4 linked regions of the Mytilus edulis genome follow. The protein of the gene in region 4 purifies or fractionates together with the protein of the main gene of each other region. This does not show direct contact. Links are inferred from orthologs where the notes say so. Each region holds a gene or a part of one and is shown on either strand. Other genes may lie near its edges.

Evidence for each region.
Region 1: the proteins of syntaxin-18-like (region 4) and vesicle-trafficking protein SEC22b-like purify together in Homo sapiens (affinity purification with mass spectrometry; 5 studies listed by BioGRID and IntAct, counting the BioPlex papers as one, with this or other methods). This does not show direct contact. The link is inferred for Mytilus edulis from reciprocal best matches to the Homo sapiens genes STX18 and SEC22B.
Region 2: the proteins of syntaxin-18-like (region 4) and RAD50-interacting protein 1-like purify together in Homo sapiens (co-immunoprecipitation; 6 studies listed by BioGRID and IntAct, counting the BioPlex papers as one, with this or other methods). This does not show direct contact. The link is inferred for Mytilus edulis from reciprocal best matches to the Homo sapiens genes STX18 and RINT1.
Region 3: the proteins of syntaxin-18-like (region 4) and signal recognition particle receptor subunit beta-like purify together in Homo sapiens (affinity purification with mass spectrometry; 3 studies listed by BioGRID and IntAct, counting the BioPlex papers as one, with this or other methods). This does not show direct contact. The link is inferred for Mytilus edulis from reciprocal best matches to the Homo sapiens genes STX18 and SRPRB.

The regions. Positions count from the first base shown.
Region 1 is NC_092345.1:3,362,737-3,370,076, forward strand, and holds the start of vesicle-trafficking protein SEC22b-like, read right to left. Parts: upstream 3,029-7,340; 5' UTR 2,880-3,028; coding exon 2,805-2,879; intron 1,249-2,804; coding exon 1,133-1,248; intron 1-1,132. Other genes in the region: protein transport protein Sec16A-like, read left to right, coding at 4,916-7,340. UniProt on the Homo sapiens protein: SNARE involved in targeting and fusion of ER-derived transport vesicles with the Golgi complex as well as Golgi-derived retrograde transport vesicles with the ER.
Region 2 is NC_092352.1:32,415,844-32,423,393, reverse strand, and holds the start of RAD50-interacting protein 1-like, read right to left. Parts: upstream 3,018-7,550; 5' UTR 2,964-3,017; coding exon 2,841-2,963; intron 1-2,840. Other genes in the region: SUMO-conjugating enzyme UBC9-B, read left to right, coding at 5,934-5,999, 6,217-6,300. UniProt on the Homo sapiens protein: Involved in regulation of membrane traffic between the Golgi and the endoplasmic reticulum (ER); the function is proposed to depend on its association in the NRZ complex which is believed to play a role in SNARE assembly at the ER.
Region 3 is NC_092356.1:41,361,794-41,368,903, reverse strand, and holds the start of signal recognition particle receptor subunit beta-like, read right to left. Parts: upstream 3,014-7,110; 5' UTR 2,969-3,013; coding exon 2,845-2,968; intron 1-2,844. UniProt on the Homo sapiens protein: Component of the signal recognition particle (SRP) complex receptor (SR). Ensures, in conjunction with the SRP complex, the correct targeting of the nascent secretory proteins to the endoplasmic reticulum membrane system.
Region 4 is NC_092347.1:80,145,808-80,153,080, forward strand, and holds the start of syntaxin-18-like, read right to left. Parts: upstream 3,006-7,273; 5' UTR 2,722-3,005; coding exon 2,572-2,721; intron 1,417-2,571; coding exon 1,349-1,416; intron 1-1,348. Other genes in the region: TM2 domain-containing protein 2-like, read left to right, coding at 3,132-3,268. UniProt on the Homo sapiens protein: Syntaxin that may be involved in targeting and fusion of Golgi-derived retrograde transport vesicles with the ER.

The sequences.
Region 1 (7,340 bases), on a different chromosome or scaffold from region 4:
TAAAAATTAGCACTTCAAGATTGTCACATATTGAAATTGATGTTGCTAAAAGTCAGAAAATTATGCCACTCTGCCTGTATGAGTATGGAAATATAACATGTATAACTTGATTTACAAAATTGAGTAAATATCCATACAATGTATGTACATCAATTATGAAAAATTACATTCCATTCTTCAAATTCTTTGTTTACCTGTTTTTTTATTTTTCTACAATGGTTGTTCTCATTGTCTTCTGATGACATTTTACATAGAGAACATGTTTTTAAAGTTATCAAAAAAGATCGGCAAAGTACAAATGTATTGCAAAACTATTTTCCATAAATCATTAGAAAAACAGAATCCTCATTGTATCTCATCATTTATTGCATGATAACATATATTTAATATAATATGAGTTGGAAATTTTAATAAACTAGAATAAAATAGAAATTGAGTTGAATGAGTACATTAAATTTAGACACTATGATAATCTATGAAGTTAATTTTTTTTATCCCATGCAGAAGCAGCGTATTACTAGATTTCTAGTTTCTTGAACAACATGACATGTGTAACATTTGGAGCAGGAACTTAATTTGATATATTAGATGAAAGAAAATGGTATTGTCTGATTTTGGACTTTGGACTTTTGATTTTTGAAAACCCTACTGGTATTTTTCTTTATTTTTTTACAATGTCAGTTGTATATAACTTTTACACAGGAAGTGTTATACAAATGTATGTAATATTTTTTACAAGGTCCTTCATAAAATTAGCAAAGTAAGTTTTGTTCAATCGCTCAGGTGTTAAAGTAATTGTTGTTTATCAGTGGGTTTTTCCTCATTGGTTTTTAATTATATATTTCCTGTCAGTATTATTTTTATGTACTGTAATATTTATAATGATATCTGAATCAAGTTTATGTAAATACTATCCACAATTTATACTTATACAAAAACAACTTAATGTACCCTGGATAACTGTCTAAATATAAACTTTGAAGAAGGTACATGTGTATACGAATGTTGACCACTTGATCATGTTGATGTTTGATTTTCTTGGGTTGCTTATCATAAAAAATTATTTAAAATCTCCTTTTATCTATGAATATGACAATATATGTTTAGCATGTTTAAACTATGTTTTACTTACTGAAAAATATATGGTCCAGATTCTAAACTACATCTTCCTGGAGGCTGTGGATCGGTTGATATCTTACGGAAAAGTTGTTTAGCTTGTGCCTGGTAGTCCATTAAGCTTCTTCCTGCCTGTATCAAAAAGAGTGGAAAGTTCAGGACAAAGTAATGATAAAATAACTATATGTTAATTAATATCAGCAATGGATATTTTTAAGTCTGTCAGATATATTTGAGTGCTTAAATCTCTAAGTAAATGTTTAAATTTCTAAAAAAAAAAAAAAGTGAAGACCCCCCTTTCATTTATTACGATTTTGTCATGAAACTAGCTACAGTAAACGTTGTAAATTGTGATTGTAGGATAAATTGATTAAAATTGAAATTATGCTGACTGCATGACTGACAAATTAATTAATTTTAGAGTATTGTTATGACCAATCAGATAATCGGTGTACATGTAACAATAAATTTACCACTTTCGAGTTCATCCGTCACCGGCAAAAACTCGTCAATTATGCGCGCCTTTATGACGTCATTTACCAGATAGAGGGGATCGCCTGTATCCCTGTACTATTTACCTTCATCAAGCGTCTTAGTGATCGTCGTTGTGCAGGATAAACTAGAAATAATGGTTGTTCTGTCGGTACTTAATGACAATTCCCTAATAACAGCAATGCTGATTGTCAATTTTGAGAATTTAATTTGCTGAATAGTTCGTACAATATAGAATTATAGTTTTCCAACCACTCGCTCAACATTGAAACGGAAGTGACGACGCCCCTAAACACACAAATGACGTTCACTAAAACCAGAGTTTTTGACGGAAATGCATCGAACTCGAAAGTTGTCTATTATGACACCTGTTGTGACAGTTGATTGACACACTTGTCATAATTTTGTTGCCAGGTTAAAAGATAGACTTATAGAAATTGATAAACTTCAAAATAGGTAACAAATAATTTTTTCTGGTATAATTTGTGATACCAGTAATCGGGATTTTGACTTGTTTTACGATCCCGAAATTGGGTTGGGGCATGAAAATCAGCATGATATTGCCATATACACCTTCTCACTATTCCCGCTTTTTTTCTATTATGACATCAGAATTTTACGGGAACTTTTGTGATGTCCAGTAATGGCAGACAAATAGCGATAAGGTGTATTCAGAATAGTTGGCAGGTCTGTGAATTTAATACTGTCTTAGTCGATGGAATTACGTATGGTCTTAGTACAGTTTGTAGATTGGTAGATGGTAAAAATTGACTTATTGATAGTCTAACACTAAGTTGTCGCTTGGAACGAGTTGTTTTGCACCAGGCTACAATACACCTTATCGCTAATCCCAGCTGACCCGGCCGCTTGAACTATTGTCGCATACAACAATCACTTTTCCATTGTGGCGTCATATATTTTGTATTGTGACGTCAAAGTTTTACGGGAACCTGTGTGATATCCAGTAATGGCGGACAAATAGCAATAAGGTGTATGTATATCTTTTTGGAATTTTGGGAATTGAAGAAGATTCATGGACCTAACCCGTGGCCTGTTGTGTAACTTGTTCTGATCAGAGTGATCGCTTACTTTGACGTGTTAGGAGATTTTGTAATTTCAGAGATAAAACCAATCTATATGAGACATTTGACAGACAACACCACAGCTGTCTAAAACATTATTTGAAATAAAATAACCTGTTCATCCTCTTGCATTGATGCAGCTAAGGGCAGTGCATCTGCAACTCGTGCGATCATGGTCATTAAAACCATTCTGGCAACGATTATATCAAAGAACTCGTTTAATGTACATGTATGATACTAAGACTGCATGTGAGGTTTGTTATGATGGTATAGCTGACGTGGTGCGCTTGACGGATAAATAATTTTGACACTTCCGGTAAACAAAACAATGTACTTCCGGTTCAGACACCCAGCAAGTTTCACTGAAAACCTTTTAAATCGCAAGTCACTGTTCGTTTCTTAGGTAAGACAACTACAGATTTGAGTACACATAAACATGATCTCATTTAATCCCTTGATAACTGTGAAGAAGAAAAAAACGAAAAAAACAGTTAAAAAGAACGTAACGAAAGTGCGCATGAACGTCACACGTAACCACTGAAAGCAATATGGCAGCATTGTGGCCTTTAATAATTTGACAGCTTTCATGACGTATTCTGTCAGCACACACTAATTTGTACAAGTCAAAAGGTAGCTTTTAAGAATAATAATGAGAGAATGCATTGAATCCAAACTGAAAGTCGGGGATTAACGAATTAAGTGATGATGAAAAATGAATGTCATCAGCTGTTTCCCTTTCTTTCTGTTTGTTTATGTTTTTAATTAACCAGTGTTCGAACTAGTAAATACCATGCTTTAAATTCAATCTGATACTTGTAGTTTGATAAAATTAAATTTGAAATTTGTAAACATCTAGATAGATAATGTAGATATACATGATATATAGGTAATCGAGTTTTAATAAAAAATTGATGGTAAAGCTTATAAGCAGGTAAACCAACCCAGCATATGTTACAGCCATGTTCAACTATCGAGAATAATTTGATAAAAGTGGATATATACTGTGTTCTCCCCAGGCAGATATGTATAAATACTTTCTTAGCTGCAACACTTACATTGACCCACTGTTTTCGAAGATAATCCGTAGTGTGTAGTTGTTTCGATTATTGTATTAATTACATGAAGTAGATCAATACACACGAAATGTTGTTACATATTATTTAGTCCATGCATTGTCAATTGTTCATTTTAGACCATTTGTAAGTTTAATATACGCTTCATTATGTTATAAAATCAATTGTGAGAATTAGAGTCAAATTGGTGGACATGGATTTTATAGCTAATACCCCTTTAACATGTTAAGGACAAATAAAATTTTATTGAGTGTTTGTTCAACACAAGCTAATTAACTTTCGAGTTTGTAGCCAAAGTTTACAGGACTATGGAGCAGATGGAAAATAAGTGAATTTTAATAGTGCGATGATATCTGTGATTGTTTTGTTTTTATTTTAATTTTCTATGCATTCCCATTTGTTAAATAGACTTTTTCTTAACAGGTGTTATCTTCCAATGCACGTTTGTTTATATTCTTTCATCAAATTTTTCCCTTCACGCTTGCAGTTCGGCCAAAGTTGTAACGAGAGGTATCATAGTTACATGTAAGGTCATTGCATAGGGGAAAATATCAGCAAATAAATGTATGGGAAGACAATAATTCATTAACATGTTACATATCTGAAGGATGTTCAGTTCTTATACTTGAAAGTTCACATACACTTGTTTACCGAGTAATGGTAAAACTTAGCTATTCTCATGTATACAAAGCATGATTAACTTATTTTTTTAATTCTGAAGTTTTATATGATCATACAATGTAAGATATGCAGAAGGCTATCTATGGTGAGAGTAATATGTTTTGAAATCTTTAGATGTCACTTTCACTTTTATTTGGTTTTTTTTTTTTTCTCTCAGAAATAAACATGTTTTTCAAAAGTAAAAAAATGTAATAAAATTTGAGCATGGAAATGTTCACTTTTAAGTTTTATTTTATATCTTTGTTAAAAGAATATATAGGACCCCTTACTTAAATAAAAATAAACAGAAAATAAGTAAATAGATAAACTACATAGATTATTGAATGTCTTTTTAAGTATTTTCAAAGAAACAATATTATATTTCTGTTTCTAGCTTTTATTCATAACTATCATGACTACCATGACTACTTGAATTTAACTTTCTTTTCAAAAAAAAGGTTCATGTATACTTATCATTATTGTATTTTCAGTATGAGCATAACTAACCCCTGGAACAGTGGTGCAGAAGGGGCAAAAGGAAATGTCAAACTTTTTAATCCAGCAGAATTTCATCAAAATGGACCATCACCACAGACTGATGGAACTGTGACAGACCATAAAAACCAATCCAGTTGGAGCCAGGGATGGGGAAATGACAATCATTATGGACAATATAATGGTCAGCAGTCAGATCAAGGCCTCGGTCAACAAGGTCAAGTACACTATCAAGGTCCAGATCAGAATTCTCAACAATTTTATAATTTAAATCCAGGTATACCACAGCAACAGTCTTATAATCAAGATTTGTCAAATGACCACCAAGGACAACCTTTTCAATCATACGACCCAGGTCAAGCACAGTCTTTCCAACCATATGACCCAAATCAAGCACAACAGTATGACCCAAATCAAGCACCAGCTGTTCAACAATTTGACCAGCAAGGACAGCCCATTCAGCAGTTGAATGCTGAAGCTCAGGCATTTCAACCATATGGATCTCAGGCATATCAAAATTATGATGATCAGGGTCAATATAATAACCAGAACTATGAATGGAATCAGTATAACTATGGGTATCAACAAGGTTGGAATAATACTGAAGCTGACCAGCAGCCTCCTGGGACAGATATTGTAGAATCAGGCCAAAATCCTGACTTAAATGTTCAAAGTGATAGCCAGTCTCAAAATGTTAATAATGAAAATTATACAAACACTGACTCAACAGAGTTGTACAATACAAATGCATCTAATGCAGGAAAAGTAAATAATGAGTTGGGTACATCAGGGGGAGATAACCAACATATAGCTAGTAGTGATGCTAGATTGTCTAAAGAATTGGACCCAAATTCACATGTACCTCAGCCTGATATTAGTAGTGAAAGTTTAGTAACTTTAAATAGTTCTAGCACACAACTTGTCGAAGATAATGTTCAATCAATTGAAAATCAAATGGGAAATATGTATGTTGAGGAAAAATCAAATGAAAGTGATAGAAAGGTGGAGGACATAAATCATTCCGCAATAGAGGGTCAAGGCTCCTCTGTTGATGGTAATCCTAAGGTGTCAACAGAGTCAAAAGATTCTCCTGTTAATTCACAGACTTCTGATGATTGGGAATTGGTGCCTTCCGATCACAATTTACTAGCACCTAGTAATCACAGCCGTCAGGGTTCTACAGATAGTAGTGCAAATGTACAATTTTTTATAGGCTCCACTAATATATCACCATCAGAGACACCAAATACTGCAGAAACAGGTCATACTGAGAAAAAACCAGCAGAGGGTTCACCTCCACATAACCTAATACCAAAACATTCCTCATCTCCCATGCCTCCAAGAAATAACATTGCTGAAAGTACTGGTCCCCCATCAGTCTCAATAAACCAGCCACCTCCAACAGGACTAGGGCCATCTGGTGGGAACCCCTTTAGAAAGGGAAAGGGTTCTGATAACAGGACTAGCCGTAGTCCTAATATATTGAAGAACAATGAACATGTAAGTCAACCTGTGACTATTTCTCAAAATGAGGGACTAAAGTTAGATATAAAAGCTGCGGATTCAGGATTTCCTAGTCCTATACAACCTGTGACAGAGGATTCCCAGGATCCTCCTACTCAAAGTCCTATCATGCCAAGGAAGGAGAGCCCATTCCAACCACCTAGACGTAGAAATCTGTCACAGTCCAGTAATTCATTTGATGACGAGAATATATCTGATCCTCGACATGTTGGTGGCAGTGCATCAGATCACCATCAGAGCAACATAGATAGAAAATCAGGGGATAGACACGATAGAAAAACTGGACCAATGAAAGCAGATAGAACTATAGGATCTATTTTACCTCCTCAATCAGCAGGTCGACAAAAGGATTCTTCCATTGATTATAGTAGATTTTCAAATCGTGGGATTGATGAAAAAAGACCTCGTTCACCATTGAGTTCGAGTAGAAGTATAAGTGATAGGTTGACTCCTACCAAACCACCCACAGGACGAACAACACCTACAAAATCGTCAAATGGTAGGACCACACCTGGTCGTAATACACCAAGTCGAAGAATGGAACATGCAGCATATCAAAGAGCAATTGAGCGTCGAAAGAAGGAAAATATTTCACCTGCAACCTCACTGTGGGCTAATAATGATATTGTTCCTAAGAGTAACATATTACTTGCCCCTGCTGCTCCAATGCAGGCTACAAGTACTACTCCAGTGTTTGGTATTGTGGCTCCAAAAGGTAGTGGTGGAACAAGAGAGGTCTTGTCCCCTGTTCAAAATCTTATCACAAGTATGAGTGATCACCTGTCTAGAGAGAACTCACCTGAAAAAGATACAAGTAAGTTGAAAACAAATGAAAGGGACAGACGAGAGAGTACACAGAGGGACAGACATGAAAGGAATTCCTCCATTGACAGAGAAA
Region 2 (7,550 bases), on a different chromosome or scaffold from region 4:
ACAAAAATTTGAGGGCAGTCCAGTCATTTTGAAAAGGAGGGGGGGGGGGGTCAACAATATCATCATTATCATGTCCCTATTCAAAAGCATTGATCCTAAAACAGGGGGTGGTTACAACCCAGTAACAAGACATTTTGACACCAAAGTCTGAAGTAATTTTGGCATCAGTTTTCGACAATTCGGGACCAAGACAAGTCGCCACTTCATTTTTAAAAATATTATTATTAAGAAAAATAAAAGAATTGTTGCAGTAATATTAGATTTTGTAGATAAAATATGCATTACCGTAATTGGTTGTGTATAGTCCGCACTTTTTTACCTTAAATATGTAATTTGAACAAGGAATTTCTACAACCCCTGGTTCTGCCACTAATGGAAGGTCATTTTTTATACTACACTTCGTCTTGAAGACACTGACAAGTCCCTGTGGAAACCTCAATTTGGTTATTTAAACCTTCATTTCATTAAACTCTCACAAAATATACAACTATAATATTAGTAATCTACAAATGTATGTGCACAGTAGACATGTATAGAAATTAGGCATAAATGAGGGATGTAAATTATATGCCCTTTACTGACAGGCATCAAGCGGTAATTTTTTACTACCTATAGTGTCAAATTGGTTTAATTTTACTGTGATTCGTCAGATGTCTCAACAGTCAGGGGACTTACAATGTACTGAAATAAGTGATTTTTAAATCACTTATTTGAGTAGCAAATTCGAGGTTTTGTCACAAATTGGGATTTTGTAGTTTTTTCAAAATTTTAAACACATAGGTTTAAAAAATATCTTTTTATAAATTAGTAAAATTAAAAAAAATGAACTTTTTGCTTCTTTTAAGTAGAAAGGTTTATGCCTTTGATGCTATCATTTAGCTGAAAATTCTATTTTAGTTGAAAAAATGCTATAATAATGGCTTTACATAATGAACTGATATTTTCTTAAAAGATTTTTCCCAGCAGTGGGAGTATTTTTCCTGTGAAGTTCAAGGTTTTATCTTTCAGATTATCATTATGTAATAAAATTCTACTGTTCGCGATAAAAATTTCACTGTTCGGGGATGTTGAAATTAGTGGGGGTTATTATAAGAATGATACTTAAAGAAGTGATTTTTTTGAAGGAAATTGAGGTCTGATACTTAAACAAGTGATTTTTATGTCATTATCCTAGATTCAGTACAAGGTCATCACCTGAAATGACCTGGTCATCCTAGACAACACAGATGTTGGTTCTGATAAGTTTAGAAACATAATTAGTCCCTGGATCATTAGTATTCTATATTTAAAGCTACAATAAAATTAAATCACTTCTTCTAGTGATTAATTTGTACTACTTAAATAGGTGATTATTAAAGAAAGACAACTCTAACTTCCAACCTTTATGGAAATAATGTTACTTGAATCAGTGATTTAGAAAATCACTTATTTAAGTAAGTCCCCTGACTGCTTCATAAAGACTAAAGACTCAAATAGTTATCATCACCATTATTTTTGGAAAAAAAATAGCTTGATTCGTCAAATTCAGATAATTTTATCGTCTAAAAGAAAGTGTACAATTAATCGTCATGCACTAAAAATTACTGTTAACGTCATTTGGCAAGAATTTTTACCATTATCGTCGTGTCATATGTTTTCGTATGTCATATGTTTTCGTATCAACCACATTTCGTCGGTTTCGACTGCATACGCGTACATTGTGGCATGTTTTTCTGTTTCTATATTTAGAACAACAACACCACTACAACTTGATATATTTAAAACATATTCAACGTCGCTTTTTAAAGACGTTAGAACAAATTAAATAAAACTGACCTATTTAGCCATTTTTATTTAATGTCAAAAATACGCATCACTAGAATAGTTGTGGAAAAAAATTCTGAAGGGTTAAAATAAAGTCCAGATATGTTTTTTGCAAGTCAGACACCGGATCTTCAAGACGTATGACTGTCATGTGTTTTTTTGGCCGTTTTAATTACAAACCATCGAGTTAAAATTAGCAGGGTTCTTATATAAAATGGTTGTTCAAAATCTAACTATTCAATATTTCATTGACAATTTTTTTTATACATCCTTGATACATGAAGATGAAAACAGTCTTAACTTTTTATATTTAATCATAAATTTTGAAAACTGCATTTTATTTTAGAAAAAATAATGTATTTTGTACAAACCAGGTGCCAATCTGAAATTAATCAAAATCCGTAAAAATTTCATCACACGAAACACCAACCTTACACTTTTTACTAGTAATTTTTTGTACTGAAAAGTATTTAATAACTTTTTTTAAGATTTAAGCGATCACCCGAACCACGACTTTAGAAAAAATGTATTTCCGGATTTTGTAGTCATTTCCTGTCCGTGTACTGATCCAATTTTTATTTCATACGAAAACATATGACGCCGTTTTTTTGACATACAAAAATCGCAAAGTAATCGGAAACAGTAAAAAATCGTAGAAATCATTGACAAAAAAACTAGATACCTAAAATCAATCTACAGGACATGCTTTTTAAATTTGAGTAAACACCTAAATAAAAACTCAACAGTAAAAACCGTAAGCAGTGAAAATTGTTATTAGTACGAAAACACATTACACGATGATATACGTCATGAAGGTACCCCCATTACTACCCTCATAAATGTTTCAACAGTTCAAAAACAGAGCAAAATGAAATTGCTCATCCTCATTCCTGTGGGAAGCAGGACAAATCGCCACACTAGCAAAACGCCCAACACCAAATCGCCACACTTTTTCACAAACTCGCGATTTGCCAGTGGGGCGATTTGTCATGGATTCATTCATGTGTACTGTTCCTATGACTTAAGGCATTAATTACTTGTTGTCCTAATGACTCAACAGTTTCTTTTATATTTTTATGAACATCTTTTAAATCTGATAGAGTCTTTATATTTTGGTTCAAGTATTCTGTAACGTGGACATTCTTCTCTGATTTTGCCATCTGTGAAGAAAGGGATTGTTTACATAGTTGCTTCCCTTAGAAAAAAATAGTTGACATACATCGTACAAACGCTTGACGCGAAGGTGTTAGATTAATGTAAAGCGTCTAATTGATCTGTTCACGTGACATAGTTTTTCCAGCGGTAAGTTTCGTGAAATGAGAAAGGATTTTTCTTTAAAACCATTTACTCTTTTGAATGACACATAAAACTGTAAAAGTACCCTCACATATTTGTACGATTTTATATATACAACTGTTATCTTTGAATAGATTCTATTTTTTCGTGTTATCTTCGTTAAAACAAGAAAATCATGAATGGTTCTTTGCCTAAATGGAAACAGGATATCCAAGTTATTCTTTCTAATCCGTGGAGTAACTATTTCAATGACATGCTATTGAAAACAAAGCTGAATGATAAACATTTGAATTACCACAACCCCTTCAGACTAAATCCCTTTTTCCTGGTTAAGGCCCCATCCTGCATCCCAGACTCAAATTGTTCAATGATTGTTAATAATTTTAACCTTATCAATTGGGTTTTATTGTAAATACTGTATGTAACCAAAGGGGACTAGATTTGTAATGTGACCATAGGTAGGCCCACAGAGTTTAAGCTTACTGTAGACTGTTAGAAACAAAACTCAATTATAAGGAAGAAGATTCTTATTAGACTACCGACTAGTCTATTTTTATAGACCAAATAATTTACTTCTCTGAGTTACTTAATCTTTTGACAAGATAACTAAGAAGTGACTAGTCTGTGTGACTTTTTCCCAAAATTGAAACTGTAATTTGAAGTAAAATCATGCTTCCAATTTGCTGTTGGTAAAAAAATCAATTGTTTTCCAATAATTTTGTCATATAAAAAAGAAATTACTGTTACAATGTAGTTTAATTTTTCACCAAAGTGTCATCCAAAGAAATGGAATCATGAGACATTAATTTTTTGCACACAGCACCAGTGACCTATACTGCTATCCCTGCTCTGGGGTGGATCCAGCCATTTTGAACATTTCATTGTTGTAAAAACATCTAAAGGGCACCTGCCACCCTCACTGGTAGAGATATAAAAGGCTGATTATTGTTATATAAACAAATTTTGTGTTATAATCTTAATAGTTAAGGATGTAAATGTAAATGTAATTATGCTTAAATTGTATAAACACATACATGTATTAGTAATTGACAAAACTTGTCAAGGTCATTTTTGCTGAAAAGTAAAGTTTTACAAAATCATAAACAGTTTGACTTAGCTTTAACATTTGTGATTAAAGGGAGTACTGACTGGTACCTTTCCAAAATTGCATCCCTATTTTTGAAGATGTTTTTGAAGGAATTTATATAGATTTCCAACATGTCCAAAAATAAAAGGAAAACAATTTTGTTTTGTACCCTGCAATATAAACATTATATTGAATAGCTGGAGGCATGTTAAAAAAAAATGAGACACTATTTTTGTGAATGGTGATAATTAAAGCCATTGCTTTAATTAATAAACCAATTATTATAAACATTTGACTTGAATATTTTTTTCTTCATTCAAGTTGTATTATTTGGCAGCTAATGAGTTATATTTTACTAATTGATCATGATATAAAACATTATCCAAAACTTTAGAAAAAGTAATGTTTATACTTAAAAGAGGTTTATAAAGAAGAATTAAAATCCATTTTGGAGTTTCTAAGTATTTAATCTTTTAAGACTTTGTTGGAGTAATAAAAGTCAGACTCTAATATAAGTATCTCATACCTTTACTTTTTAAATTAGAGACGCATGTTAGGGTTCCTGTTGAAGGTGGTTGATATTTGAAGAGAAAAAAGGTAGAGTTTGCTTTAGATGTTCTATTTTAATATATGGTTAAAAAGAAACAAAAAGGGCATTTTCTTTTAATTTAAACTTTCATTTTCTTTCGTTGAATAAAAATTTCTATAAAAAAAAAAATTGTACAGATAAATAACGATAATATTTATTTAAAACTATTCCATTTCTTCAATAATTTATAACTGCAAATAGAATTACTTTTAATCTTATGGACTACACATAATAATTTCAAAGGAGAAATAAACAAATATACTAAATTGTTTTAACAGTAGACATGTAGAAATAGGAATAAAAATAAAATAAAATAAAGAAATACAAAAGGACCTTTTAGGAGTGAAACTGGGTAACTATTTATAGAGACTGAATGATATTCTTTGGCTTTATATTAATTAAAACCTTGTGGTAAAACAATACAATTTGTTTTATGTTTGATGTTGCATATAAGTTATTTATTAATGACTACCTGTATGTGGTTGGTTAGAATACATTTCTCAAAATAAGGTTTAGGGCTTTTCAAGTGTTTACAATTTGATCACCTGTTTAAAGTATACAAATTTCTAAAACAGTGCCCTCAAAATGGAACATCCTGTGGTTGGCTCCTATTTTGCATGTTGTAATGTTTTCTTTCATAAATTACTTGAAACACAAATTTGCTCAAACTAATGGTAGTCTACATATAGTTATGTTTAGGATCTATAGATGTTTTCTACATGTACAATGTATTATGTTTATGAGGAATGATTTACACATCTTTATATTATAATTCTCCGATCTTTCAAACCAAACAGGCAATTATGTTCAGGTGCATTTCTTTTAGTAGAAAAGCTACTTGTTTATTTATGTCTTCTTTTGATGAGTGAACAAACTTATTACTGTGACTTGAACGAATAGCAATTTGTTTTATCAAATCAAACTTCAACTTGTTAGAAATTTTTTCCAACTGCTAATGGGAAATACAGTTCAGTGGCCAAAGAACAAAGCTGCCAAATTCAACCGAAAAGACTAAAGAAAATTTGTTCTCTGTTGACCATTCAAATTCATGATTTACCTACATCCACAACATGAAGGAAAATTTGTAATTCATGTAACCAATTTCAATATTTATCAATAAATTTGTATGTATTTTACTTTTGCAGTTGAACTAATAAGATGTCTGGCATAGCTGTAGGAAGACTGAGTGAAGAAAGAAAAGCTTGGAGGAAAGATCACCCATTTGTAAGTCAAACTATTATATATTATTATAGACTAAAAACAAGAAAATTATTTCATAGAATTACATTAATGTCATTGAGTTCCTTGTTGTATTGTTCAAGAAGTATTGTAAATAAAAAAGTGCACTGTATTTGTCATTTTAATATTCCTGTAACAAATATTCTGTAGGATTTAATTTATTTTGAGGGAGAGTATGTTGTTATATTATTTTCCTTTGCAGGGTTTTGTAGCCAGACCAACCAAAAATCCAGATGGAACATTAAATTTATTGAATTGGGAATGTGCAATACCAGGCAAGAAAGGGGTAAATAATGATTTCATATATTTTTTGGAAAGATTGGAAGCCAGGATAACCACTAAATATATAAACACTGAAATTTGGTTCCCAATACTCTCATGACTCTTGTATATATATATATATATATATGTAAATATGCACAGATGAACTGTAAAGCATTTTTCAAGTACTTTTTTTTAGTTTTGTCAATATGCTTACTAGTTTTATCTTTCTAACCCAGACTAGGTCAAACCAAATACATGTAGTTGAAAATTGATATTTGAAGCTTTTATGCTTAGTACATTGCATTTAGGAGTAGGAGCTATGACTGGTCAGAATAATGATTCTTTGTTGTATTAAATGTATTCCTGAGGACTGAAACCTTGTTACCTACCTTGTTTAAAAACCAGCTCATTATTGTACCTAAATCCCCAGTCCCACTAGACAACGATCGAACCACGCTCACCGCGATCTAAAATAAATTCAGATTGTGGTGAGGTCGCGGTATGAGCGGCATAAAAATGTAATTTTTCGTTGCTTTCACAATGCTACTACATCCTCATTACCCTTCTACAACAATCCCGCTACGATTATACCACGTTCTCATTGCGCTTATCCTGCAACCTCACTACACTTATCAAGATCTTTCGACGCTCATCACGTTCCCACTACGACCATATCACGAGTTATCCGATTGCACCACGCTTCTACTGCGATTGTGGCATGCTCTACCACGATTATAATACGTTTATACCGCAATCTTACTACGCTCTCAGTTCTCAGCAATAACGTCAACATGGTGTTTCATATATACAGTTCCATTCCTTCTATTTCTGATTAATACGTAGATTTCTTAAAAACAATACAGTCATGCCACCAAAATCTACTAGAACACGTGGCCGTGGTGGTAAGGGTTGATGTAGAGGCAAAGGGTCACCTTAAAGTAACAGATCCTGATCCAGAAGAGATGTCGGACCAACCAATCCAACCTGAATTACAACCTATTGCTGGTCCATCAAGTTCAAATAACGATATTTTAGTGAACGATAACAGAGATGACACAGATGTGTCAATAGATATAGGAAGATGTGGTATGAGTGTTAATGAGACAACTCTCCATCCAAGTAACAATTTAAAAAAGTAAACCATTATAGTTCAAGGTACGGCCTTCAACACGGAACCTTGGCTCACACCGAACAGCAAGCTATGAAGGGTCCAAAAATTACTAGTGTAAAACTATTCAAACAAGAAAACCAACAGTCTAATCTATATAAAAA
Region 3 (7,110 bases), on a different chromosome or scaffold from region 4:
GGCCATATTTGTCAGTAGTTAATGTTATGATCCATAATAATTCCTTTTGAAATCTGAATGAGGAGTAATTTTCTGAGTTGGCAGCCCTAATACATGTCATATATAACCAGTAAAGAACTTAGGATAGGGTTTAAAATGGTGGCCATTTCACATTTTGCAAAACAATAATAATTGTGGCAATTAGAAATTAAGAAATACAATTGTTTGAATTCTGCTATCTTGTTAAATTTGCTTCAGGTTTCTCAGACTTTTTCCTTAATGAGACAATACTCGTCATTTCACCTTTTAACAGAAATAACAGCTGAATGCATTTTGTAGCATTTGGCAACAATGGACTTAAATAATGAAGGTATTATTAGTATGGCTAATGAAAACATGTGGTAAAATGGCTGTACACGTCATCCAAGCTAAATACTGTTATAACAACTACAAAATGTAATTGTTTGAAGAAGGTACTTCACATAGTTTTATTTACTTATTTTATGACTCAATTTTTACTTAAGGGGTTAAAGTATCTATAAGGATAATCTCTTATTTTATTCCTTGTCCTTCAACTAGACCATGTAGACAGGACATATCGGACTGATGATAAACTGAAGTTGAATCCTGTGTTCCCAGAAGTCAAATTATACAGTATCATTAAAAAATTATGAGAATTTTTTGTTCAAAATTAGAGTTCATTTATTATGATGTAGGTTATAAAATAGATATGTACACAAATGTAGAATAGTAATTAAGAAAATTTGCAAGGGTTCCACAAAACCCAGTGTCTAGTCTACTTTTGCTGTTAATCGCAGGCTCAACAAAAATGAGGAAAAAAACCAATAAAAATATCGATTGTAAGAAGCTTCTGTCCAAGTTGGGTAAAAATTCAGGATAGTTTATGAATCTAATTAATGTTTTAAAAAACTTTAACTGAAAACTACATGTAAGTCCATTTACAAGTAAAAAAACAGATGTATACACAAGGACAAAATTTTAACAAAATTTCCTTCTAGATACTAGATTTTGATCATGAACGAGCTTCTGTACAAGTTTGGTACAAATCCAAAATAGTATAACTGTATAAGAAAGTTATTAAAATTCGAAAAACTTTATCCACAGAGTGAATATTTGTGGCCGACAACGACGCCGACTGAATGTAGGATCGCTATGTCTCGCTTTTTCGACTTAAGTTGCAAGGATCGACAAAAACAACAAAATCGTTCAATTTTTTTGATGTCATGTTTTTTAATTCCTGCATCTGCGCAAAAATCTACAATGTTCTTCCTTTTACCGGTCTGGTTTGTATGAAACTTTGAGTAAAATATATATTTATCAGTCTAGTATAAAATAGGAATGAACGCAAAACCAATTTCATTTTTAATTATTCCTTGATATGAAAAAACGTTACATGATGATAGCATTTCTTTGTTTACATTGCATATGAGTCATAACATAAGTAACGTCACAACTAAAATCCCTAACAATAGAACCAAAATCGGAAAGGTTACTGTATTTCTGTTTGTCCCCATTTACAGGTAATGTGCATGCATTATGCCTGCCTCATATTATAGGGAATCAATAAAGTGTGACTTGAGCGGGCACCCTCTTAGGCAGTCAGTGAGCCCCACTAATGAAAATTTCAGGATCCGCCACTGTAAACTACATTATGTATATAAATCTTCAATCTTCAATCTTTGTCGTGATGACAGAGTAATCTCTCTTGTGAATTACCCTCTCTTGTAAAATTAATTTCACTAATGTAGTTTCTCCTTTGTACTTAGATATTGTAGGTGGCTCTTTAAAAATATTATAGAACTATATAAATGTATCACTTGAAGAAAAAAAAAAAGGTTAATTAGGTTATTGGAATGGCATGAAAAATTAAAAAATATTAAAAATTAAAAGAAATTTGTATTAAATTAAATTATCCACTTAAACTGTTTGTTTCCTCTATGTACTCCGCTAATAGTTGACTGATATTTTCTGCATTTGGCAAATTGATTGTTAATAAATCGTCTAAATCTGTTGGAATTTGTCCTGTTATGAAGTATATTTGATGAAATAATTTGTCTCTGGCATCTGATTACAGGTCACATTCAAAAAGGTAGTGTTGTACATTTTCTTTTTCTTTGCAGTGATCACAGGTTTCCGAGTTGATGTGCTGGTTTATTATAAATTGGTATGCATTTAATTTAGAATAACCTGTTCATAAACTGTTGATTATGTTGTACATTTTTTTGACGGGTAGTCTTTTTTTACTTTATTTTTAACTTCAGGATGAAATCTGAAATAATGACAGCCAGCATTACTGTTTTCCCATCTGCGTTGCCATTTTTTTGTAACAGAATTTCTAGCTGCTTTTTTTACATCTTGTTTTGTATACACTATGTCATCAACTGCTAGTGATTCTGCTTCTTTAGCAGCTTCTTTTGCTAGGGAGTCTGCCTCATCGTTTCCTTTTATGTTGGCATGTCCTGGTGTCCAGTTTAAGTTTATTAAAATTCCATGTTCATTTAAATTTTTTATCTTCCCTTTGATTTCGTTAATGGTTTGATGATAGCTGTCACTTTTCCAATTAAGAGTTAAGATACCTAAATTATGCGGTCTGACTGTCCGAAAATAAAGTATCAATTTGCTGTTTTGAAAAAGATTCTGTGTAATCGAGTACAATTTTCATTGCTATAAGTTCAGCTAGCAAGATTGATCCTTTGTTAGAGACAGGTCTTTTTAATTTTTCTTCTTGATTATTAATGTAAATTATAGCTCCTGCACCGCATATAAATCTGGATAAAACATATGGCCACATTTCTTCACGCGATTGCAACATTAACTTGGGTGAAATAAAATATCATGTGTTACCTATTGTAAGCAAAACAACTAAGATTGCTACTATGATGCCTATGGTAGTTGGATCCTGTTTCTGGACATTGTCAGTCAATATATTTGCGTACTGTAAAATTTGTTCCTGAATGCTGGCTCCCATGTTGTCAGTCAACGTCAACTTCCGGTGTGAATAATATTAAGACCAAAGACGGAAATGTAAGCGTATTCCGATTTTCCATCGAAAAAAGACGTAAAAAGGCGGAAACAACCGAACATGTCCGAATATGTGAACGTTTCTGAGTATAGGATCTTTACGGATCAGACCAAGAATTTGTAAAGCGACGCTATACAAATCCTTGATCAGACTCACTTATTTTCATTTGCTCTCTGTTATAGCTTACGCTTTTTAACACCATAAACAGACTAATATATTTCACTTCATATTCTCAACCAAACCTATCATGAAACAGATTTATTCTAGAAATAGATATGTATATATTATACCGTATATCCATAAGCATTGGCGGATCCAGGGGGTTCCGGGGGTTGGAACCCCCCCTTTTTTTTTGGCCAATCAATGCATTTGAATGGGAACATATAGTTAAAACCCCCCTTTGTCCTGGGTTGGGACCCCCCCCCCCTGTTTTTAAATGGCAGGATCCGCCCCTGATAAGGAATATACTTACAATACTGTTGGAAAGTCATTTAGGATGACATATTTTGGTATAAAATATTGATTCACTCATTGGGTTTCACATTTGCATAGGAAATAAACTGAAATTTTATCACAAAGCAGCTGTTGGTATGATACGGATTATGTTCTTCTCATATATTTTATGATGGTATGATACCAAACCCCTAACGAGAGGGAATGTGCTTGATTTTCACATGATAAAGACCTAATTTTTCTATCTGTTTAATTGAGGTGTAGCTGGAGCTGGCATGTCAGTGACTGCTGGTTAGTCCTTTGTTAATATATGTATCATTGTCACTTTGCAAAGTTTCTTTTGTTACCTTTTCTGACATCAGACTCGGACTTCTTCAGTTAAAACGATGTTTAAATAGTTACTGTGCGTGTTGTTATGTGTTTCTTTACTCTACATTTGGCTGGAGGTTTTAGATGGCTCAAACAAACATGTTTAACCCTGTTGCATTTTGCGCCTGTTCTAAGTCAGGGGCCTCTGGCGCACGCCTTCGTTAGTATTGTATGCTTTTTTCCCAATTACATTCTCAAATTGATGTTTTGTCTAGTCTATTATAAAGACTTGTATTGAAAGAGGCCTTTATCACATTACCATTCGATCGGCTTGTCCCCAATCATCATTTTGTATTTCTTATAGCAAAACCGTATCATACTTGTTTTGAATAGTTGATATATATAAACAAACACGATTGAATAGAAAACTTACAAAATTACATGACCATGACCAAAAATTATTATTTTGAATAAGAAACTAACATTTTTATCCGTTAAAAAGATCCGAAAACAGGAAACTGGAATATGCGTCCAATTATAACTTTATTTGTAACACCATTCACACAATTGGATAAGGAAACTGACACTTTATGACCACAGTTTTTAAAGTAGTATATTATCATAAATCTATTGCATCAACAGTTGCCAGTGTAGCAAATAATCCTTATCCAACATAAGACTGTAAAATGTCAAACTTTAGATATGATCCCTTTTGTCATGTTATAATAGTCTAATATCATTAGTCAGTTTTGTTCATTGGTTGTCGCTTGATGGTGTGCTTCATTTGTTTTTCTCGGTTTTTTTTATATATATTAGACCGTTGGTAATTTCCTGTTTAAATTGTATTACACTAGTCTTTTGTTGCCCTTTATATCTTGCTGATGATCGGTGTGAGCCAATGCTCCGTGTTGAAGGCCATACTTTGACCCATAATTGTTTACTTTTCTGGATGGAGAGTTGTCTTATTGGCACTCATATGATGTCTTCTCATTCAGTCTACTCAACCTCATTCAGCGTCAATAGGTTGTAAACTAGAAAACCAAGTAACCAAATATGATATTTTTTTATTGTTAACATTGATATAAAATTATAAATACAGAAATCCGATATACATAACTAATTTCAATTAATATGAAAATAAGAAGGTATGACATATTGATATATCAATATATGCAGTTCCCGGATTAGACATAGGCTTCAAGTTATCGGAAAGCATTTTGTGTGAATACCAGTCGACAAAGCAGACAGCAATGAGGTAGTGCCTGACACAAATATTACGCTAAATATTGTAATATTACCTTGTCTTATCTCATTATTTACTCGGAACATTTGAAGGGCCTCGCTGTATTGGCTTCGTAAATAACACACAATTCTCGTCCAATATTGTTTCCTCTTAGCCCCCCTCTCTCTATATATATATATGGTAGGCGACCACTTGTTGTTCAGCAACCTATCGGTCTATCCCTTTGATAGATTCCCTGACTACTATTATAGAACTTGTTTGAATGATTATTCTAGCTTTAAGTAGAGTTGGTTGTTCTGGACTAATTAAGAGGTAGACATGCTGCTGATAACAATCTATACCAATTTTCATTTTTATGCCCAATTTATTGTTTTATTCTGTCTGTGCGTCCGTTCGTCCGTCCCTCTGTCCCGCTTCAGATTAAAGTTTTAGGTTTTTGATAAAGTTAAAGTTCAATCAACTTGAATCTTAGTACACATGTTCCCTATGATAATTATGATCTTTCTAATTTTACTGCGAAATTATAGTTTTGGCCCCAATGTCACAATCCACTTAACATATGAAATGACAGTGCGAGTTCGGTATCCGTGTACTAGGACACATTCTTGTTTTTCTCTGCTTTGTATTGACCAAGCTGAGCTTTTGAGCAACAAATGTATATTGATATCGTTAAATGAAATGTCTGACTAGATGCATCTGGGACCAAGTATATAGGATAGTTAAATGCATAAGTTCTTTTCATTGCCATAAAAATCATTGACATTTAAACCCGTAAGGTCCCATTTTTACAGATTAACCGTTAGTTTTCTCACTAAAATTGTTTATATATTTATTGTTTATGTCAAAGCCTTTCATAGCCGAATATATACGGTGCATTTTCCCATATTGTTGAAGGCCGTTCGGTTGTCTATAATTGCTTACATCCACTTCATTTAGACTTTGGTTAAATACTTGTCTCCTTGACAATCATAACATATCTTCATAATAAATATTTCAATAAAGAATTTCTATTCACTGTAAAAAGGGAAACAAGCGATTTTGAATTTAACTTATGTTGTTGCATTTCTAGTAAATTGTGTTTTCCCGTCATGGTTTGTAATGCATGTTTGTATATACACACACTAAATGGAGTACTAATACTGTCCAGTCTAATTATTATATATAGAGCTCTGATTTCGTTATACTTCATATGGAGTATAACGAAATCAGAGTTCTATATTTTAATAAGACTCAAGTATAATTGTCCTGTGTCTTTTTTGATTCAATAAAAAAATGTGGACGTATAAAATAAGAGGATTTGATATGATGGATGAAATAACCATCCCACCGAGTTTTAAACCGTGCAGCCTTCAACAATGAGATAGATCCTCAATCAAGCAAGCTACAAGTCAGAATAAGGGCTTTGATACTGACACGATTTGCATCTATTTTTCCGTTTGCTATAAAATATATTATAGGGGCTTTGCATCGGAATTAAACACATTTATTTAAAAATAAACAATTTTATCACAAATCAGCTGTTGGCATGACACGGGTTATGTTCTTCTTATATATTTTATGATGGTATAATACTGAACCCCTAACGGGAGGGATTGTGCCTGATGTTCATATGATGAAGAAATAATCTTTCAATCAGTTTAATTGAGGTCTAGAGCTGGCATGTCAGTAACTACTAGTAGTCTGTTGTTATTTATGTATTATTTTCTTTTGTTACCTCTTCTGACATCGGACTCGGACTTCTTTGGAACTGAATTTTACTGTGCGTATGGTTATGCCTTTACTTTTCTGCATTGGCTAGAGGTAATTTGGGAGGGTTGAGATCTAAACAAAACATGTTTAACCCAGCCGTGTTTTGTCCCAAGTTAGGAGCCTCTGACCTTTGTTAGTCTTGTATGATTTTTAATTTTAGTTTCTTGTGTGTAATTTGGTGTTTAGTATGGCGTCCATTATCACTGAACTAGTACCGGTATATATATATTTGTTTAGGGGCTAGCCGAAGGACGTCTCCGGTCTGGAGAGTTTCTTGCTACATTGAAGACCCATTGGTGACCATCTGCTGTAGTCTGTTCTATGGTCGGGTTGT
Region 4 (7,273 bases):
GTATTGTCAAAAACAGCTCATATTTATGTAGCAGAATCATTTTACTTTCCAAAATAAAGCTTATGGATTACATTTTCACAATTTTCTAAAACTGCTATATTTTGGGGCCAAAAAGGGGTCTTACTGAACATACTCCTTTCTGTTATTTCAAGGAAAATGTCTTACACACTTGCCAGATTTACATTATGTTTTCACGGTTATCTCAAAATATTTTATCAGTCTGCTCAACATTGAGATTATGAATGTCAAACTGTATTTAATGTTTAAATATAGCAAGATGCTTATTTTTGAATTGACTGATGTTTAATGTTCTGTTAGTAATCTGTTGATTACATTCAAGATCATAACATGTAAATGTGATATGAATATGAACCACAATCTAACTAACACACAGCAGTCATTCCCAAGATTGCAGAGTTTAGTAAAAATGAGTCTGATCCAGTAAAGAGATATGCATTACTGAACCAAATAGCAAGTAAAATTTAAGTTTTGACCTAATCATGCAGGGACTGCGCTGTGCGTCGTCAATGTCGCAATTTGTGATGTTTTATTTCATCGGGCGACAAAAACAGCTGCTGGCGATATTTCTGGCCCCAACATTTAAAACATGTGAAAATTTTCATTTCTTTTGACAATATTGATCTTCATTTTAATTGGTAAAAGTTAAAAAAAAAAAAAAAAAAAATTCTACAAAATTTTACCTGGCGACAAGTTTATGACTTTGTTTACAACCCCATGTTAATCAACAGTTACAACAGGTGTCATAATCTGTTGTTACAGATCTGTTTATCGAATGGGTCATTAATGATCATCCACATTAATTAATTCAAATATATATACATTGTAATTGGTCAGTCGGCATTTTGTCTATTTCATTTGAAGAAATGTTCATACAACAACACAATTTCCAATGTTTACCGTAGTTTTGATTCATGTGTGTAAAAGACTTATAAAAAAAAAGAGTCTGGTCCAGTTAAGACAAATTGTTTACTGGAACAAATGTGCAATGATTTCTCAAAGCCATGGGAAAGATTTATGTTCAAATTTAGACTGGTGTTACTTAATTCTAAAAATTATTGTATTCTGTTTATTTTAACTATTGTATGTGTACATGGTGTATCTCTATGTATGTGTGCCTATGTTTTTAAGATAATTCATAGATCACTCTTGGCAAACTTTTCAATCCCTTTTGACATCATTGTTAAAATAAGTATGGTTGCCTATAATTGCTCACATCCATTTTTTTTTACCTTTGGTGCAAAGTCGTCTCATTGGCAATTCGACCACATCTCCATAATTCTACAAATGTATATGTGTAGCGGTAAATAATTTTGTCATATCTAATTACCTGCCTGCATTTACATAATCCTTTCTGTGCTTTAGTAGAAAATCTTTCAACTGTGTAATGGTTGATACCTAAGAAGAATATTGAAACTATAAAATAACTGTTCAATGTGGGTTATAAATCAAAACATTTCAGGTAATATCAGAATTATTTTACACAATCTTGAAATACCATTAAAATGTTAAAAGTACAAATTGATAAAGATTTGCTTTTTTTTAAACAATAAGAGTCAAAATAAAATTGAGAATGGAAATGGGCATGATGAGGAATATGTCAAAGAGACAACAACTTGACCAAAGAGCAGACAAGCCACCAATGGGTCTTCAACGCAACAAGAAAATTCTGCAACCAGAGGTGGTTCTCAACTGGTGTACTAGTTCAGTGAAAATTGACATAAAAAATCAAGATATTGAAAAATTTAATTTTTTCACAGAAAGGAAAAAAAATGCCCATCAAAAACCAAGAAAGATTTTATCTCTCTTAACCCTTTACTCCATGGATATTTTTTTTTAAATACTTGATTTCGCATAGGACTTTTTTCAGTAAAAAAAATCATCAGGTTTAAAGTGTTAATGCATTGTGAAAACTAATATTTCAGTGATCAATGAAATTCAAGTCAGATATTCTCATGAATCTCCTTTTCATATTGGATAAATTTTTTTGAAGTCTGATGCAGACATTTTGGAGACATAGCGTTTCAACTGAGGTACTACACAGGCGTCATTAAAAGATTATGGAGTAAAGGGGGTGGCGTCAAAAGGCGTTATTATGGAGGAAAGGGTTAAACACTAAATGCATTTAACTTTTATATACATGTGGATGCTAGGCCTTAAAACTTTCCAAACAGCACAGGTAAGTCTGTACACAGAGTAGTTTTTGATGTGAAAAAACAGTCAAATTTGTCCATTTGTTTAATGATCAATGAACCTTAACAGAACAAGCTTTTATAAATAACGTTAAAAAATCAGCAGTATATTGTCTTTTTAAACATCTTGCAGTGATATCTGTATGGTTACGACAAAGTTACCAATTCTCGCTTTAACTTGACGAGAGATAGAGCGCCTATTGAAGATGTTGGAGAGCTGTAATTATAATGCACTGTCTGTTTATATTTATTTATTTGAAATAATTAAAATTTTATTTGTTTTACATTAAATCTGTTTTGTCATTTCTACACTTAATTAGCCTTCTTGTCACCAATAAGAAGTGAAACCCCTTATACTTACCAATCCTTTTGCTGTGTTTTCAAAATCACTCCTCTGTTTTGTGGCAGGGAAAATATTAGTAAATTCTTTCTTTCCATTTTCCTTTGAAATCTTATTTCTACTTTTTATAGTTTTGACTGTCGCTTTAAATAAATTAGTAACATCTGACATTGTGTTGAAATGAGAAAAAGGTAAACAATATGTGTGACAGGTTACATATATATATGCTTCCAACTTGGCACTTTTCGGTTCACAGATTCATATGTCAACAACGACGAACTTATTTTTATTTTTACTTGATTATTACTGGGTAGTATGACGTGAATTGTGTGGCCACTTACAGCAAAAAATATATCATTAACTATCTTATTTATGCAAGATACTTATTACAATGATTGAAAATAAAATAAAAATATGTTGGCAACTTATAGCAACATTTTGGTCTTCAGATTTTGTGCATCTATGTCGATTTTGCGTTTGAAATAAGTACCGATTTTTATTTGATTAAAAAGAACATAAATGACTTTGAAATAATAATGAAGAAAAACAAAAAATGAAAATGTAGAAGTTTAGCAACCAAAATGATTAAGACGGACATTTGCCTTCATTTTATAGTTTTACTCTGTGCTGTTTCAAGTATTGACATAGAAGAATGTTATGAAGACAAATGTGACGAGCTTTACGTCCCTCATGCACCACTTGTTTTTTGTACAAATTTGTAAGTGGTTTTAAAATTAATAATCGGAACATCCTGTCGAGCATGCCGATGAGAGCGGACGTGAAAATTTTTGCAGAGACAATCCTTCAACATCATTGAAATTGTTTTGTCAAATTGATTTCATGGATAAATATTATTATCCTTACATCGTATATTTTATGATTTGGATTATATTTTTTTTGTTGAGAAAGATTTCTGCAGATATTTTCAGGTTTGTTTGAGACATGTAGTCAGATGGGATCCATTAGTAGTTTCCATGTGGGAAACTATCAGACCAATCTATTTGATGTCTGAGGGTTTTAGCTGTTCCCCTAATGGATCGGTAGTTTCTTTCCGAGATCCTTTATCATAGGATTTTCGGCTTTCCTCTACCAGGAATACAGCTGGGCATTTAGCGGTATCGGTTTGGATTCCAAGTATGTCCTCTCCGGTTTCCCGTTCGTTGTCTAGGCATTTGTGCGGCATCCGGGGTGACCTTATCCTTTATTTTGTATATAATGTTTTTTTATAATATGCATTTTTTATATTTTTGAGGATGAGTGAGTCAGGTGAGTGGGTGTGTTCGTATGCTTTATTACATTGTACTTATTGTTTTGGGGAAGGTTAACTTTCTGGTAGTAAGACCCGTCACGGCCAGGCTGGGAAACTGGATAGGCAAATGCTCACATTAAATCTGTATCGATACAGTGTGTTAAATGTCTTCCTTTTTACACCATAACCCATGGTGGTGCTCCTACTAAAGGAGGGAGATACGGAACATACATACATCCCTTAATTAAATATACCTTATTGCTACTACTATTACTGGAAATCACACAGGTTCCCGTAAAATTTCGACGTCATAATACAAATTATCTGACGCCACTGAAACGGGGGTGGAGTTTCCACTGGCTTTTTTTTGTACAGGGAAATAAAAAACACCAAAGATGCAGAACTACTTCAACAAGATCTGGAAACCCTACAAGAATGGGAGAATGATTGGCTCATGGAATTTCATCCCAAAAAGTGCCAAGTCATTCACATTACCAGGGGTTAAAAAATCCACTAGCCCGACGCCCGGGACTAGATCATTTACGCCTCGGGCAATTAAAATGTGTAATCCGATATGCCCGACGGACTAGTAACAAAAAATTCTTGACGTTTCCAAAATAGAAAGTGAAAAATCCCTTCATCACTATTCTATGTTAGCCATTTCGATTCAATTAAGTCATCCGGGATCCAAGAATTTGAACTGGTTTGTACAGGTCCTGTTGTACATATTTTAAACATAGAACAAATAACTCTGGCATGTCTGGGTGGCCTGGTATCATGTGTTGATTCTCGTACTTTAAATATCGATTTCTCATACCATTGATTGAGGTATTGTACATTGCTTATCGTGCCGAGATTTTCGATTAACGTTATTTGAGGGTATGATGTATTGATTGGTATTGACATGTCTTGTTGCACAGCTCTTGAGCACGAAACTATGCAACAAAATATTTCTTAATATATTAGTACGGGAACCCTAGGAACTTTGTCAGTTTCTAAACGAAAAACGGTAGATGAATGGAGTAACGAGGCTGAAAATTCATCCCCCCCAAAATGCTAAACCGCGGAAAAACAATAATAGCGTCCAGGACAGCAGGGCTGTCAAGTCTTTAGCGCGAGACTCACACATGTTCATGCTTATTTGGCGGCATTTTCCTTTGATCTGTTGTTTTTTCTCTTTGATCTTAACAATTTGGCCAACAAAAAACGCATTCACTTCCCGAAAAGTTGGCAGAACTGGGACACAATGATTACCTTGGCTGTTGCTGATGAAAAAAACAGACAATGCTCTGTGAATATTGCCGTTAGTTGCCCCAAGCTAGCCAATAAAAAGTCTGCTTTGAATGTGGGAACAACTTAGTTAGGTTAAGCACCAAAAGAATAATAACAGATCAACAAAAAATATTAAATACAGTGTATAATGTCTCCTTCAAAACAAAGGGCACCTACTTTGTATTGTGCAGCAAACTCTTAATTTTTAAGGCATACTAGGGCTAGCAGGTCAGTTTTTATGGACTAGCAGTTCTTCCAACAGGGCTAGTAAAATCCTGCTGCCAATAAGTCCTGGGCTAGCTAGCTGTAACAAAATTTTTTAGCCCCTGATTACCAACAAGAGGAAACCAATCAGACAGCCATATATCATCCATGGTCACGTCTTAGAGGAAGTAGAATGTGCAAAATATCTGGGGGCCAACATCCACCACAAACTAAACTGGACTACTCACATAGACCAAGTAGTAAGAAAAGCCAACAACACCAGGGCTTTTCTACAGAGAAATATATCACAATGCCCACGAAAGACCAAGGAACTCTGCTACAAGACCCTTGTGAGACCACAGATGGAGTATGCAAGCATCATTTGGGATCCACACACAGCAAACAACATCCACAACCTGGAAATGGTACAACGTAGGGCAGCAAGATTTGTTACTGGTGACTACCACCGAACCACTAGTGTAACAAACCTATTACACCAGCTGCAATGGCCAACCCTACAAGAGCGTAGAGCAACGAATAAAGTTATAATGATGTACCGCATAGTTAACCACTTGGTTGCAATACCAACATCCTGCTTAATCCCAACAGCAGCAACATTAAGAGGACACAACCAACGATTCCTTGTTCCATTCGCAAGAACGCAGCTTTACCAGTACTCGTTCTTCCCAGACGCCATCAGATTATGGAACAGTCTACCACCAACTACTGTAGCCTGCAACTCAATTGACACATTCAAGTGTGAGTTGCAGAAGACCAAGATGTATTAAGGACTGTGCGAATTTTTTAACTGTACATACTATTTTTTAACTGCACTGTAAATATTGGTTTGTCTGCACCACGCATCAGTTCGATAATACACCAGATGGTGGTATGAACTGTATATGGAAGAAGAAGAAGAAGAAGAAGGCTTCGCTGTCTTCCTGTTGTCTACCCAAGTTCTGCTGGGATATTGGACAAAGTATGTAAAACATGTTAACATAAACAAGATGTTTATTTAAAGACATACATATGATTGAATTATAAGTTACATACAAGAAATACTAAAATATACGGTTGTGGCTAGTCTACTTGTCCTTTTAACCATGTTAACATGTTTAAAGTTCCATATTTGAAAGCCAAAACAGTATGAGCTTCTGCTCATTTCAAATCCTAAGTGTAGACTGCCACAAACCTGGTGAGTGACTTCATACTTATAGTTCCTAGGGACAACAAGCCCGGCAGGGCCCAATGTCAGGCACGTGCAAGAAGCAGGAAGTCCTGACAAGAATAATTACATTGCCAGTCTCGGGAGAAAGAGTTACGGAACTATAAGTAATACTAATATTAACCAATTTCCCCAAATAAATAGAATAAACAAGAAAACAAAGTGACTACCGTTACACCACAATTGAAAAGTGATTGTTGTACATGTATGACGTCTATAGTTCAAGTGGCACCGATCCTCAGGTCAGCCAGTAATAGCCATAACATGCATATATAAGGTGTATATTATCCCTAGAGATTTTGAGATATTCTTTTCCTGAAATATGATCCAAATGATTGGTCCAACATGTGTATTGTGGTTGACGTACAACATACTTGGGAGGTCAATCCTCAATCTTAAGGCCTGTTGGAAAAAATTATCTCAATGTGCAGGTTTTCTCAACCGTGTGTTTTGCTCAATGTTTTTTCTTCTCTGTGCTTTAAAAGGGTATGCGCTGGTTAACATTGGGACTAAAGTATCAAATCTGCCAGTTCTGTCAATGTAAGGCCAAGTGTGCTCAGTAGCTTTAATGTCTTGAAGGTTACTTTTCATTAGTGTGGACATCATTCAGACAAAAGACATTTGATAATGTCTTTCAGAAACTCAACTATATTTATATATGGATATTTTTAATGAATAGCATGAACTTCCACCAGGATTGAAAGCCAACAAGTGTACAATAAAGGCAATCAATCAATGATTTCCTTGCATGTTCTTGATTATTGTTTGTGATT